Sus scrofa: one gene and its partner. The protein of the gene in region 2 interacts with the protein of the main gene of each other region in a biochemical or structural test. Links are inferred from orthologs where the notes say so. Each region holds a gene or a part of one and is shown on either strand. Other genes may lie near its edges.

Region 1 (7,676 bases), on a different chromosome or scaffold from region 2:
AATCCAGTGATTCTTAGAATCATCAAATCTTCTAAGACTGAAACAAGATACTAAATTATATATCTATAATTATATACACATATAATATATAGATATTAGTATGCAGGTCAAGGTGCTGGGAAAACTGCACAGTACTAGAAAACCAACGAAACCAGGTTCTTCTAACACACACACACAAACTGGGTAAGGGATTTTTATGGGTCACATCTGCAAAAGATTGTTTTCCCCTAAAGCTGAATTTTTAGGCTTGTGTGTAATTTACTAGAACTGCACTGCAGCAATCAGATGTTCTGAAGCTGTAAATGCTTACTCATATAGGTTCCTGCTTAACCAAAATAAGTACCGGTATGTTATATTTGTCACCAAAACCTAGGCAGAGAAGACAAATTCAGAACACTGGGAGTTGCCAAAGCTTTAACTTTTAGCTTGAAGACCATAAAACTGTTCCACGTTCCTTCCATCTCATCATCTCACTCAAACAGAGGCCACAGGAAATAAAAGGCAAACCACAGGTTCCCAATTGTCACTGGAGCTAGTTAAAAGATTACAGAACTGTCTACACTTTAAATACAAATTAAAGAGCAACAAAGACTACTAACTTAGGAATAGAATAACTACTGATTAACTACTGATTAGCAAAATACCAAAGCTGAAGTCAAAGACAAATGGCTACACATTTTAACATTTGTTTTTATTTCAGTTTTTTAACATCTATCTTTTAAATAACAGGAATATAGATTCCCATACATCCCATTACATAAAATTCACTTTAAACTTTCTATTCCTTAAAAAGTCAGTTCTGAAAGTACAAGTTATTCAAAAAACAAGGTGATACAGCGCTCACCTGCAATAAATACTTTTTCTTTTAAATTGTTTAACTGGTTACATAAGCTTCATGACCACACACACTGAATTTTTCACTACTAAACCCGCAGCATCTAGCCCCCTGGCACAAAGAGGGTGCACAAATGTGTGAGGCGATGAATTCGTTATTGAAAGCTTCTGAAACCCTAAAGCAGAAATCTAGGTTTCTGTGACTGACTACTGCTGTTAATAAATTCAGTATAAGTTACTGCCCCTTTCTGGACATTACTGTTAAAACTTTTGTAAGGAAAGCTTAACATTTCTACCATACTTTTGCATCCCTGCAGGAATCAGTGAAATACATTTAAAGTGGTGGCTATCCAGTTTTTAAGTTACACACTTTGAAAAAGGGACTCTGAAAACTTTTGGTATTATAAAAATAAGTTCCAAAATCTCACCTCAAGAACAAGATACAGTTGCATGCCGAGCCCCCATTATTATCAGATCCACTTTTCTGATTTAACCTTGAACATTTTCTTGTACTCTAACAAGGCAGGTTTTCCTCTCCTCTTTTTACTTGTTGAAAATACACCTGATCGGTAACACCACTCACAAGGCCTCGCCAGCCCCTACTTCTTTTGTATATATAAACACACTCTGATCACACACTCCATCAGCTGTTTGGTAGCTCCGCCCCTCCTCCTTTTCCGGGTAGTAACAGAGCAGCCAATGAGCTGTGAGGAGCTGTGCCTGCGGCCTTTTGCCTGCATACGCTTTTCCAAAACAAGCAGCTCTAGCCTTCAGCAGGGGCCACTGGTTCACAGATAAAAGGATCACCAGGCTGTGCAACAGGGTGAGACGAGTAACCCCCACCAACAAGGAAACCCGTGTAATCTGAGCTGTTTGTTCCTCCACCCAGGAGAACTTAAACCGATATTCCTTTAGGGCAAATCACGCTTTAAGGTCACCAGAGTCCCAGTTCTCAGACAATCTAAATAATCGGGCAGGTTTGAGATAGAAACCTCAAAGCTTGCCAGGCTGGGAACAGCACAGGATCACCAATCTACCTGACTTTGCAAACAAACAGCAACACTATTCAAAACCACCATTCCACAGGATTTGGGCTCACTGCAAGTTTTTTGACTGGGACACATTCCTACAGGGCCCAAAAGTCATGTACATCAGTTTCTAGGCTCCTGGAGAGGTTTGCACAACCCTCAGCAAAGGATCAGAAGAGAAACAATGAATGAGTCAGAGTTTCAGAACATAATCGCCCAGATTATTAAATGCATTGGTGCAAAACACTCACTCCCTCCATAACTTGGAAGTCAGCTTTCCTCCTACCAACCCGTCACAAAAGAAATATCACCGACTCCAAACAACCAGGGACAGCGTCTCGGAAAGAACCTACGAGGTAGTGGAAGGCAGTGGCCAATTAGTTACACATCCTCTTCTCTCCCTACCCCCACACCGCTACTTTCCTACTATATAGGTTCCCTGCCAGGCTGTAAATCGTGGTGGCATAATTACGCTCAGGAGACATCCAAAAATGGGCTGAAACAAGACTGCAACGAAACCGGCTATCAGCCTCCATACCAACGAAATCACCAAGGGGCACTGGGGGGGTAAAAAGCAAGTACATTCCTTCAGACCTTTCCCACTTCCTCTCCACCATCTTTCATTTTCAACCCTCGGCGCTTTCACACAATTGTGTTCATTTTAGTAGTGCGTTGGGAATTTTTCCTTAAATTTTGTGCTAAATATACCTTGCTCAAAAATCGTAGTCTCCATTTGTGCCTACTAATGTGAATTCAGCACAGAAAGGAGGCCACAAAATCTCTCAGCCCCACAACACACAGGCACACACAAAAGGAAATACAAAAAATTTAACTTAGACCAGAAAATAACAGACTCGAAACAAAGATAACCTCTGGCTTCTAAATCCTGAGACTGTGGTCCTCTTATCTCAGACATCTACGATTTTAAAGCGCCTCTGCTTTCTTTTGTCAGAAAGGAGGAAGGTGGGGAAAGAACAGAAGGCCAATGCATCTTTGCCTTTCTTCATCTTCTACTAAAAATAAGCTATGAAATAAGCCACTTAGGGGAAGAAAAAAAAGAAAGACACCCTGCTGTTCTTTGTCTGTTTTCCTCTCCCTCTCCACCCCCCACACCCCGACTCCTAAATACGGTAATCATTCTAGATGCCACAACTACTAAATGAACAAAAGGCACTGTATGGAAAAGGCATCAGGTCAAGTTAGGCCTCACCCTTTATCCTCAGTTTTCTAAAAAATATAGAAGTATATAATTTGAGAATCTGACATTGATCAAAGACAGCTGGAATTCTCTCTCCCCCACCCATCCCAATTTAACATTAGGTAGAAATTTGCATTAGGTGTGACAGTCTCAATTCAAGATAAAAATAACTCAGGTTCTGCCATCATGTCATTTCCTAGTTTCTAAACAAAAATAAAACCTGAAACTGCTTTGTGTAAAAGGTACACACAGCCATAGTTACAAGTTTTCCTGCCACTGTATTTAAGGCCAACATTACTGGTATCATTCACACATTTACAAAACTCAATCACAGCCCAAGGGTCAATTTCACTTGTGCCTAGACATACATTTGGTACAAAATATATACTTTATTACATGCTCCTCTCTCTAATCCCCACTTCAACCTCTCCAAAATTCTAAACTTCAAACCACAAAACTTGCAAGTTCATCTACTGTTTGTAATTTCTAATCAAGTTTTCCCGAGCGAGGAGAAAAACACCTTGTTCCTGAAAAGATTATGCGGGGGGAAAATCACTTGCCCAGGCAACTTCCCTCCCATCCCCCACTTCCAAATCAAATGCAAAAACTACTTTTTAAAAACTTCAGCGAATTCCTTAACAGAATACTTAACAATAATCATTGATCTCTGCAATGAGGCAAAACGTCCAATCAAAAACAGTAACAATAAAAGGAAGAAAGAAGGAATTCACCTGAAGAATCTAGCCAAACAACTTGAGTTATATAAACAAAACCCTGCAACAGGGGGAAATGGTGGGGGGATGGGGTGAGGGAGAAACAAGAAGCAGGAGAGACAGACTTTTCAACTGCGTTTCTCACACTACCACTCCCCACCCGGATTCCCCTCTCCCCAGGGATTAGCTGTTCACAACACTGGGCTCATTTCCTCTCTCCCCCCACCCTCTAAATTACCCCTCAAAAAAATGTCTCGATTTGTCCCAAGAACCTTCGCGAATTTCTCTAGCTGGTCATGAAATAATCAGTCTGGACTCCAACCAAAACCACTGCCTGAAGGACTCTTATCAGTTAGAGCTGTCCCACTGCTACCTTCAGAGTACACAAAGTTGGGGGGGGGGTCGGAAAATAAAGGGTGTCATTTGGCAAGATCAGGATAATTATTCCCCAAGAACCTTATTCTCAAACAGGGAGTTTGCTTAAATGGCTAGCACAGGGGCTATTTAGTCAGGGAGATCCTCTTTCTCTCTCCCTCCCCACAGCTGTCATAGCCACAATATGGAGGGTGGCTGGCTGGAGGGCCTGGGGGTCCTCACCAAATACAACTATGGGTGGGATAGGCATTGTCGGTGGGGTTCTTCCAGGGACAAGGAAGCTTAACAGGGGTCTCGGATTGAAAACACTCAGAGCTCTTTATTACAAGAGGGGGCACTGAGTAGAATACTCTCTTCCTAATATAGAAAGGAATTAGGGATAAAGGAGGTCACTTGAGTTACCCCAGTTCAAGAAGCATTGTGAGTGGAGGGAATGGAGGCATCTCAAGAACAGGAGAAAGGCTTCACTCTCGGGAATTTCTATATCGAGTCCCTAAATCCAGAGCGAGCAGAGAGGAAAAAGAACGTGGGCTCTGTAGTGGAGAGAGGTGGCTGGTCCTGCAAAAAAAAAAAAAAAAGAAAAGAAAGAAAAAAAAAAAAAAGCCGTTTTGGGAGTCCAAACGTCGTGGAGAAAAGTCACGGGCACTGGGGGTGCAGAAAGAGCGTGGAACAACGCACATTTCGGGGTGCTGCAGATAAAGGGGGAGCCGAGAAGGCTCTCAGCTCCTGGGAGGTGCCAAGGAGCCTCCGTAGGCACTGGGGGGAGGGAGACGAAAGAAGGAGCCTCGGACAGTGGCCTGGAGTGCCCCTGGGCCCCTGTTTAGGTTTCAAGGGGGTGCCGTGGGCATCCCCATACTGCCCCCCACATACAGCCCGAATCCCCCCTCCTCGAAGGATACAGCTTGACCACGTCTGTGTCCATCCGCCTCTTGCCCGGACTAGGGGATGACATGGTGTCGCCGCTGCCTCCCCGTCGCCTGCGCCGCCGCCGCCTCTCTCCTTTCCTCGGCCCGTCTGTCACGGGCCCTGGGCCCCGGCTCTGAGGAGCCCGCGGTCGCGCCGGCTCCTCGGTGGAGGTGGCAACACCCCCGCGGTCTTGTCCGGTCCCGTCAGCCGCCGCCGCCGCCGCCGCCCCCCGCACGGGGGAACACCGGGCACTGTCCGGCCGAGTGGGGGTGGGGACCCCGCGGCGCCCGGCTCAGGCTGCCCCTCTCCGGCTGTGGGTTCCGCCTCGGCCCAGCCCCGGCGCGCCTCTGTGCCGCGCGACTCTCCCTCCTTCCTGCTCTAGCTCGCTCGCCTGCTTGCCTGCTCGCCCGCTCACCCTCTCGCCGGCTCCCTAGCAGCCTCCACGACAAGCGGACGATTCCTGCTCAGTCGGCCTCTCTACCCCAGCCTCGCTCTGGGCGCCGTGACGTCACCTCTGTGACGTCATCGGAGGGGGCGGGTCCGGCTGGCAAAAGGGGTGGGGTGCCGCCGCCGCCGCGGCGTGAACTTTTCTCGAGGGATTCTGGGAGATGTAGTTCCACTTTCTCCTGACCGCCCAGCTCTCCGCCCCCTCCCCCAACTCCCCCACACACTTAATCGCTCAACTGCCAGTGTCGTTATCATCATCATAAACGATAATGGTTAAATAATGGCACTATTATTACATCCATGTATTTTAGGGTAATGACCCTCCTTCCCACGTACACTGTTAAAAATTCTGTTTATTTGATTTGAGGAAGCCAAGGTGGCAATTAACCCAGTCACCAAAATCTGGAAATTCCTACACAAGCATTTCCCTGCACTCTGCTCCCTCCTTGGAGGGAGAGAATTTGTTTGCATGGATTGTAGACTAGAGCAAGGCATCTCTGAGCTTGCAAATCAGAGTTTGCTATGCTCCTGTGTATAGGGTCACCTTTTCAAGGATTAGAGTTGAGGCGGCCAGGCCACAAGGCCAGAAATAATTTAGTACTAACATCCTTATTCTATTCAGTATGAGGTGATTTCACAAAATGAATGACTGATAGAAGCAGAAATACCCCAAACATGCTCTTCTTCAGGCAAATTGTTCTGCCCTCCAAACTCCTATATCAACCCCATATACTTCATCATTCAGTAAGTATTTATTGAGCACCTATTGTAGTCATCACCCTGCTGGACATGAGGATATGGTGAACTAAGAAATACTTTAAATTTACACGGCACTCCCAATACGGTCTAGATTTAGAGTGTCAGCATCACCTGGGAACTTGTTAGAAATGCAGGCTAGGGCTCCACCACAGACCTACTGAATTAGAATTCGCAATTTAACAAGGTCCCCAGGTGATTCCTTTGTGTAGTAAAGTTTGAGATACACCGCTCTACAAAGCTCTCCAAAAGAAGTGACGCGGAACCCAGAAGTCAACCCGCCAAAGGAGGCAGGAAAAAGTGTTCTAGGCAGCTCTTGTATTTATATCCCATTTTCACTGCCACCTGTTTTCAAAATTTTTATCTATTCCCTTGTTCCCATGAATACATTTGAATTTTGTCAAACCATGTGCTGTGAGTTGGGTCCCCTTATGTAACAGCTATACACACACACACACAAACCTGGAGCCAAACTTGGCTCCCCACTCTCCTTCACCTGAGTATCTCCCACTCTTGTGATTCCCAAGCTTTGGTGTACTTCTGAATCACCTGGGGAGCTTGTTAAGCTCACAAATGTCCAGGCCCCACCCTGGGAATTCTGATTCAGAGGGTCGAGGGTGGGGCTTGGATGTCTAAGTCTTTAACAAGCTCCCCAGATGATTCTGATGCAGGCCAAAGTTTGAGAACCACTCCTGATAGATTCCACCATAGGCCTCAGCACTTGCCAAACACCTGCCTGACCCCTCTAGGTGGGTCCTGCACTTCCATAACCTCCTCTGCAAATAAGGAGGTTTCTTCCCCACCTGAGAGCAAGGTGGTAAGCTCAGAGAACCCACAGATATTTTTTCCAGAACAGAAAAAACTGATCAGGGATGGGATACTTGAGTAAAAAGGGCATAGAGGGATCTAGAAATTTTCCCTGCTGCTTTAATTCTCACAGATGTTATGCTGCCGTGATCTAAGCACTAAGCAAAAATTATTAGCGAAGTATTTATTTAGAGAGACTTGTTCTGGACTACCCTGGAGAAGGTAGGGCTGCTCTAGCCAGGAATGCAATGGCAGTTAGCCTCTGAGCAGTTGTCAAAAAGGAATCAGCCTTCCCAGTAAGTATCTTAACTCTGAGTTACTTAGGACAAACCTGCCCCTCCCCAGCTCTTAATTATGCCTCAGTTAATTGCTTACATCCTCCCCAAGCATCAGTTTTCTCATCTGTAAAATGTGGTTCATAATGCCCTACCCACTTGAGTGGGTTGATGGAATAGATGGAAAAGATGAATGCGAAAGCCCCTTGTAAACTAAAAATTGCTTTTCATAAAGGCGATGTGAAGTGTTATTGTAAGGTGTGATAGGATACTAGCAGGGGTATTAATATCAATTCTCCACTTGCCCCACTCGCTATGCACTGTGTGGCCGTTAAGA
Region 2 (6,903 bases):
CATTGCCTCCTTCCAGGGTTGGGGGGAGGATGTAGTCCATACCAGGCATGTCACTTGCCATCTAAGTCCCCAGCGCAGGGGACAGTCAGGAAGCCTGGTACTGGGCCAGCTCCTCCCTCACCTCCATCGGTCTTGACCCGGTCTCTGGGCTCTAGTTTTGTCTTGGATGAAACAGAGGACCCTCCATTCCCACCAATGGGGGCTGCACCAGCCGTGTGTGTGTGTGTGTGTGTGTGTGTGTGTGTGTGTGTCCCCTAGAGCGCCCCCAACTGTAGCTCCAACATGCTCTACCTTTTTTGTTATTGTTGTTGTTGCTTTTTAGGACCGCGTCCGAGGCTAGGGGTAGAATCAGAGCTGCAGCTACCCTCCACAGCCACAGCCACAGCCACAGCCACCCCAGACCCGAGCTGCATCTGTGACCTACACCACAGCTCACAGCAACATGGGATCCTTAACCCACTGAGCGAGGCCAGGGATCAAACCACATCCTCATGGATACTAGCAGGTTCGTAACCTCCTGAGCCACAATGGGAACTCCATGCTCTAGCTCTTGAGCAGAGGAGGCTGAGCCCCTGGGCTTCCCCAGCCACAGGCCAGAGTCAGTGTCTGACTCCAGGGTTCCAGCTCTGCAGGTCCTCAGCCCCCAGTTAGCAGGGATTATCATCACCATCCAGCAGGGGCAGGGACAGGCCAAGGCTCAAGCCTCCTCTGGGCCAACGGCAGCGGCAGCCTTCCAGTAAGCAGTGTTCTCTCCCTGTCAGTCACCCATCTGAAACCCCACGCCCTCCAAGGCCCTTCTCTGAGCACAGGTTACAAGGTGCAGGGAAACCCCGAGGGAAGGGCGCCATGGGCACCTTCTTGGATGACCAGAGGGGATGGGGGCACCCCTGGAGGGGGGGCTCCCACCAACCACACAGTTACACACACAAACCCAGAGGGAGCCCCTCCCAGTACCTGGCATCAGGGCCCGGAACATCTTTCTCCACACCTGGAATTTGAAGTCGTCTGAGATGACAGGCAGCTGAATGTCCAGGCGGGCAGGTGGGGGCGACTCTGCCAGGATCTTCTGCAGCCTGGGGGGTGGGGAGGTGGGGGGAGGTGAAAGGACTTCCTGGAGGAGGGAGGGAGGGAGGAAGGGGAGGGCAAGCCACAGTAACCAGGCGCGAGGAGGACAGGGGCTGTGGTGGAGACCTAGGCTCTCCCCCGCATCCCACCCTGGCTTAAAACTCCTCTGTGGGCAGTTCAGTTGGGGAAGATGAAAAAATTGCAGAGCTGGATGGTAGTGATGGTTGCACAACCACGTGAAGGTACTTAATGCCACTGGACTGAAAATGTACACAAACAAATGGCTAAAATGGTCATTTTCATGTTATGTGTATTGTATCAGAATTTTTTTCTTCTATCTTTTTAGGGCCACACCTATATCATATGGACATTCCCAGGCACGGGGTCTAATTGGAGCTGCAGCTGCCAGCCTATGCCACAACCACAGCCACACCAGGTCTAAGTCACCTCTGCGACCTACGCTACAGCTTGTGGAAACACCGGATCCTTAATTAACCTACTGAGCAAGGCCAGGAATTAAACCTGCATCCTCAAGGATACTAGTCAGGTTTTTGTTTGTTTTTTCAGAATTCCCGGGCCGGTGATCAGATCCAAGCTGCAGTTGAGACCCGAACCACAGCTGCAGCAGTGTGGGATCCTTAAAGACCCACTGTGCCAGGCCAGGGATTGAATCCTAGTGCTCCCAAGATGCCACCAATTCTGTTGCACCACAGCAGGTACTCCACTAGTTGGGTTCTTAACCTGCTCAGCCACAACGGGAACTCCTTACCAGGATTTTTTTCAAAGCCATCAGTTGCTTTAAAGTCCAGCTCCTGCGCCCTGCACAGTGCGGCCCCTCCTGCCCCAGCAGCTTCCCCCTTCCCTCCCTCTTAGCACCCTTTGCCCTTGCTGGTCCCTCTGCCTGCAATGCTCTTCCACCAACTCTGGGTTTTTTTTTTTGGGGGGGGGCGGTTGTGTGTGTTTTTAGGGCTACACCCAAGGCATATGGAGGCTCCCAGGCTAGGGGTCGAATCAGAGCTACAGCTGCCAGCCTTCACCACAGCCACAGCAACATGGGATCTGAACCGAATCTGTGACCTACACTACAGCTCAAGGCAACACCAGATCCTTAACCCATTGAGCGAGGCAAGGGATTGAACCCACATCCTCTTGGAATCTAGTCAGGTTTGTTAACTGCTGAGCCACGACGGAACTCCCTCCACCAGCTCTTCACCTGGCCAACTTCTGCTCATTCCTTCAGCATCCAGCTCTAATGCACACCCCTCTGGACGGCGACCCTGCCCCCCCACCACAGCAGCACTGAAGGATGCCTGTGTCTCTGCCCATGGCTGCTGCCAGCACCAGTCTGCGAGGCCCCTTTGGAGAAGGACAAGTCAGTTCGTTCGTATGTCCACATCTAGGGGATCCCAGAAGACGGAATGGGAGCAGAGGGTGAGCCAGCCAGCATCCCTGGCAGACAAGGACAAGGTGGGAAAGGGGCAGGGCCAGGCTGATCTCACCTGCTGGTCACCAGGCAGTATTTCTGGAAAGAGAGAAGAAGAGAATGGAGATGAGGTAGGCTTTGGGGACAGGGGTGGGGCGCACCCCTCCTCTGTGCCTGGTGCCTGGTCCCTGGACCTCAGAGACAAAGTGACAATGGAACGAGGTCTCAGGGGCCTGAACCCTGGCTGCGGGGCAGAGAGGAAAGCCATCCAATGCTCACCATGAGGAACTCGGTCTGGGGCTTGTCTGCCACCTCCTCCAGCACCTTCTCCATCTGCCGCAGCTGCTCCAAGTAAGACTTCAGGCTCCCCAGCTCCCTCCGCAAGGCGACCCCCGCCTCACCCCGCACACGCTCTGCTTCTCGGTCCAAGGAGCCCTCCAGTGCAGCCAGGAACAACCGCATCTTGCCCAGCTGCTCCCCCACTGCCCCCCGGAACTGACGCACCGTCTCCTGAGGGGGAAGACAGGCAAAAGCATTTGGCTGGGGACCCCCAGCCTGGACCCACACACACACCAGGCCTCCCCACCCCCACCCCCCACTCTGCCGCCCCAAGCCCCTCACCTCCACTTCCACCAGTTGTTGCTCCAGCACACCCACGCTCTTCTCCTTCCGCATACACGCCTCCTGCAGCTGCAGCTTCTGCTGCGGGAGCTGCGTCTGGGGGTGAGGCATAAAGTGATGTTGCAGGAGTTCCCGTCGTGGCACAGCAGAAACAAATCCGACTAGGAACCAGGAGGTTGCGGGTTTGATCCCTGGCCTTGCTCAGTGGGTTAAGGATCCTGCGTTGCTGTAGCTGTGGTGTAGGCTGGCAGCTGTAGCTCCAGTTGGACCCCTAGCCTGGGAATCTCCATATGCTGCAGGTGCGGCCCTAAAAAAGAAAAAAAAAAAAAGCGATGTTGCAGCCCACCTCTCCCACCAAAGCCATACCTCTCCGCCTTAACCTGTCCCCTCTGGCTCAGCTTCAGTGCCAGCTCCTCTTCCAGCCAGACTGGCACCCTGCCATTCCCCAAACGCATCTGCTGGTCTCCAGCCCTTGCCAGTACTGGTTCTGATGCATAGATGCCTCCTCCTCCCAGTGGCTGCCAAGTCCATCCTGGCCTTGCCTGCCCTGATTCTATCCCCTCAGCAGACAGTGCCGCCAGCAGAGGTCGCTGTGAGGATGACGATTTTAAATGCGGTTTGGTCTCCTCCCCTGGAGTGCTAAGGGCTTGGCACACAGCAGGTGTCAGAGGCGATGGTAGGATGTATAAAGAAAAAAGGCAGGAGTTCCCACTGTGGTACAATGGGATAAGCAGGATCTTGGGAGCACTGGAACTCAGGTTCGATCCCCGGCCTGGCACAGGGGTTAAGGATCTGGCGTTGCCACAGCTGTGACTTCGTTCAAGGCTGCTGCTCAGATCTGATCCCTGGCCTGGGAGCTCCATATGCTGTGGGGTGGCAAAAAAAAAAAAAAAAAAAGAAGAAGAAGAAGAAGAAAGGCAGCCTCCTCTTATTTCACCCTAAAAGCTGAACCTTAGCAAAATACCCTAATTGGCCTCCCTGTATACCAGTGGGTTCTGGGGGTAGGCGATTAAACAAAAGTGTCTTCTGCAGGGAGGAACCAAATATATCTGTGGGCCAGCTCCTACTCTAGGTCTGTCCCGTTGTGACTCCCGAAATGCCAGTGGCAAGGAGTTCCTAATACCACTAGCCAGGGTGTTCCCATTGTGGCTCAGTGGTAACGAACATAATTCGTATCCATGAGGACTCGGGTTCAATCCCTGGTCCTGCTCAGTGGGTTAAGGAGCCGGTGTTGCCATGAGCCATGGTCTGTAGGTCACAGACGCAGCTCAGATCCCGCATTCTGTGGCTGTGGTGTACGCCGGCAGCTCCGAATCAACCCCCAGCCTGGGAACGCCCATGTGCCGCAGGTGTGGTCTTAAAAAGAAAAAAAGAAAGAAAGAAAAAGAAAGACCACTAGCCAAAGCCACTGTTTGCTGGGAGGTGCCAGCTCTGGAATCAAATCAGTCCATTCCTGCCTCCATGGCTTTCAACACTTTTCCTCTTCCACAGAATGGGAACAGTCACCCCCCACCTCCCCCTAGAGGACACTAGGAGACCCTCTAGGCACTGTTTGCTGATGAGTACCCCCCCACTGGCAGGAGCCACAGAATCAGACTGTGGGCGCTGGTGGCCAGCAGCCAGGTCAGTCTCCTCCCAGGACGTCCTCTGGGGCTACAGCCCCTCCTGCTGCAGGCTGTTCTCAACCCTCCGAAGGTCATGGGTGACAGGACTGAGCCACGGGGACCAAGCACGACACCATCCTGGCTGTGCGAAGGCCGTTGGAACCCCCACAGTGGAGGGAGGGGGAGCGGTGCTCAGTGCCCTGCGAGGCCAATCTTGGAGACAGGCTGGTCTCCTACTGCGAGGGCACAACGGGGGACGCAGCATGGGAGACATTCAACCACTCTTTTTTTTTTTTTTTCTTTTTAGGGCTGCACCCTTGGCATATGAAGGTTCCCAGGCTAGGGATCAAATCAGAGCTGCAGCGGCCAGCCACAGCCACAGCCACATGGGATCTGAGCCGCGTCTGCAACCAACACTGCAGCTCAGAGCAACCACCAGATCCTTAACCCAGTGAGCAAGGCCTGGGATCGAATCCACATGCTCATGGATACTAGTTGGGTCATTAACACTGAGCCACAACAGGAACTCCCATTCAACCGTTCTTGAGTCTTGGCACATGGTCTCTGGATCCAGCCCCCCTTCCTCGCCAAGGACCCAGGCACCCACTGCTGCTCCAGACTCCCTGCCGGCCTCCTCCTTCGGGCTCCTCCCAGGGATACCCCTTCAGAACTCCACTAGCCCCTTCCTTCAGGGTGGGGCTGATGCAGACCCTACCCAGCTACTCGAGACTCCCGGGCCACCCCCTGCCCAGTTCCATTTCAGGGACTCCATTCTCTCTTCACAGATAAAGATGGACAATGCTGGGAGTTCTGAGGTTATCAGCAGATGTGAGCCTGAGTGCAGAGGACTCCCAGGAGGAGGAAACACCTCCCTGGACTAGGAGACCCCCAGCCAGCACCGGACTGGACTGGACAAGGGCAGAGCAGGGAGACTGGTAAGGTTGGGCTCCTCTAGTAGGAGTCTGGGGACCTCGAATACCAGCCTAAGGACAGGGATCTCCACTTCCTAGGAGTCTGGGGGCCAAGGAGAAGTGCCATGCAATGCTGATGTCTGTGCACAAAGATTACCTGCAGAAATGGCCACCCCCATCCCAACAGCAGCCTCGAGAAGATAATTGCAGCTTCATGGCAGAGACCACAGACAGAGGACTGCTGCATGCCACCAAACCCTGCCTCCTCCCGCCCCCGCACCTGTTGTGTATTTTTCCAACAACCCTACAAATGCTTCATGACAGACCTCTTTCAGCCCGTGCAGACACATACCCTCCCTTAGCTGTGACTGTGATGAGCCACATGCATGACAGCTGAAGCCAGTATGGGCCTACGGCTCCATTTGCCAGTGTTTAGGTGTCTTTGCTGGGCACCCGTGGGGATCACAAAGCTGCGGGTGCGCACAACTGTGTGTGGGCTCTGGAGGCGTTTAGAACTTCCAGCTCCAACCACAAAAACAGCCTGGGGAGTTCCCGTCGTGGCGCAGTGGTTAACGAATCCGACTAGGAACCATGAGGTTGCGGGTTCGGTCCCTGCCCTTGCTCAGTGGGTTAACGATCCGGCGTTGCCGTGAGCTGTGGTGGAGGTCGCAGACGCGGCTCGGATCCCGCGTTGCTGTGGCTCTGGCGTAGGCCGGTGGCTACAGCTCCGATTCAACCCCTAGCCTGGGAACCTCCATATGCCGCGGGAGTGGCCCAAGAAATAGCAACAACAGCAACAACAACAACAACAGACAAAAAGACAAAAAAGACCAAAAAAAAAAAAAAAAAACAGCCTGGACTTGGGTCTCGGTGCCAACCAGGGCGTACGCACAGAGGTGCGTGCCCAGGCGTGCCTTGGCCCCCCCAGGCCCCCTTGGGTTAGGCTCCATCTGGTGACAGGGTTGACAGGCCCATGCAATCCCCTGCCAAGCAGCTGGTCCGAGTGTTGGTGGGCAGGAGCGGGGAGTTGGGGAGCCCCAGGCAGCCCCGCCCCTCTTATCTGGGCCTGAGCCCTGCAGCCGAGCATGCGCAGGCACCGGCTCAGTCCTCCACAGTCCTGCTCTGCAGTTGTGCCCCCGCATCTCCGGGCGTGCTCCAGCGACCGCACCTGCCCCTCTAAGGCCTGTCTCCAATCTCTTCAAGGCTGAGTTCTCCTTCAGGCCCCGCCTTCAGCTCCCCAGGTCCCCTTCCCCTAGCCGCCCCGCCCGCGTCCCCCACA

Evidence for each region.
Region 1: the proteins of TRIM72 (region 2) and UBE2H form a complex in vitro, tested with the Homo sapiens proteins (2 studies listed by BioGRID). The link is inferred for Sus scrofa from reciprocal best matches to the Homo sapiens genes TRIM72 and UBE2H.

The regions. Positions count from the first base shown.
Region 1 is NC_010460.4:18,817,512-18,825,187, reverse strand, and holds the start of UBE2H (ubiquitin-conjugating enzyme E2 H), read right to left. Parts: upstream 4,719-7,676; 5' UTR 4,592-4,718; coding exon 4,551-4,591; intron 4,531-4,550; exon of another isoform or gene 1,263-4,530; intron 1-1,262. UniProt on the Homo sapiens protein: Accepts ubiquitin from the E1 complex and catalyzes its covalent attachment to other proteins. E2 ubiquitin conjugating enzyme that transfers ubiquitin to MAEA, a core component of the CTLH E3 ubiquitin-protein ligase complex.
Region 2 is NC_010445.4:17,289,718-17,296,620, forward strand, and holds part of TRIM72 (tripartite motif-containing protein 72), read right to left. Parts: intron 3,206-6,903; coding exon 3,110-3,205; intron 2,999-3,109; coding exon 2,768-2,998; intron 2,588-2,767; coding exon 2,565-2,587; intron 1,074-2,564; coding exon 955-1,073; intron 1-954. UniProt on the Homo sapiens protein: Muscle-specific E3 ubiquitin-protein ligase that plays a central role in cell membrane repair by nucleating the assembly of the repair machinery at injury sites.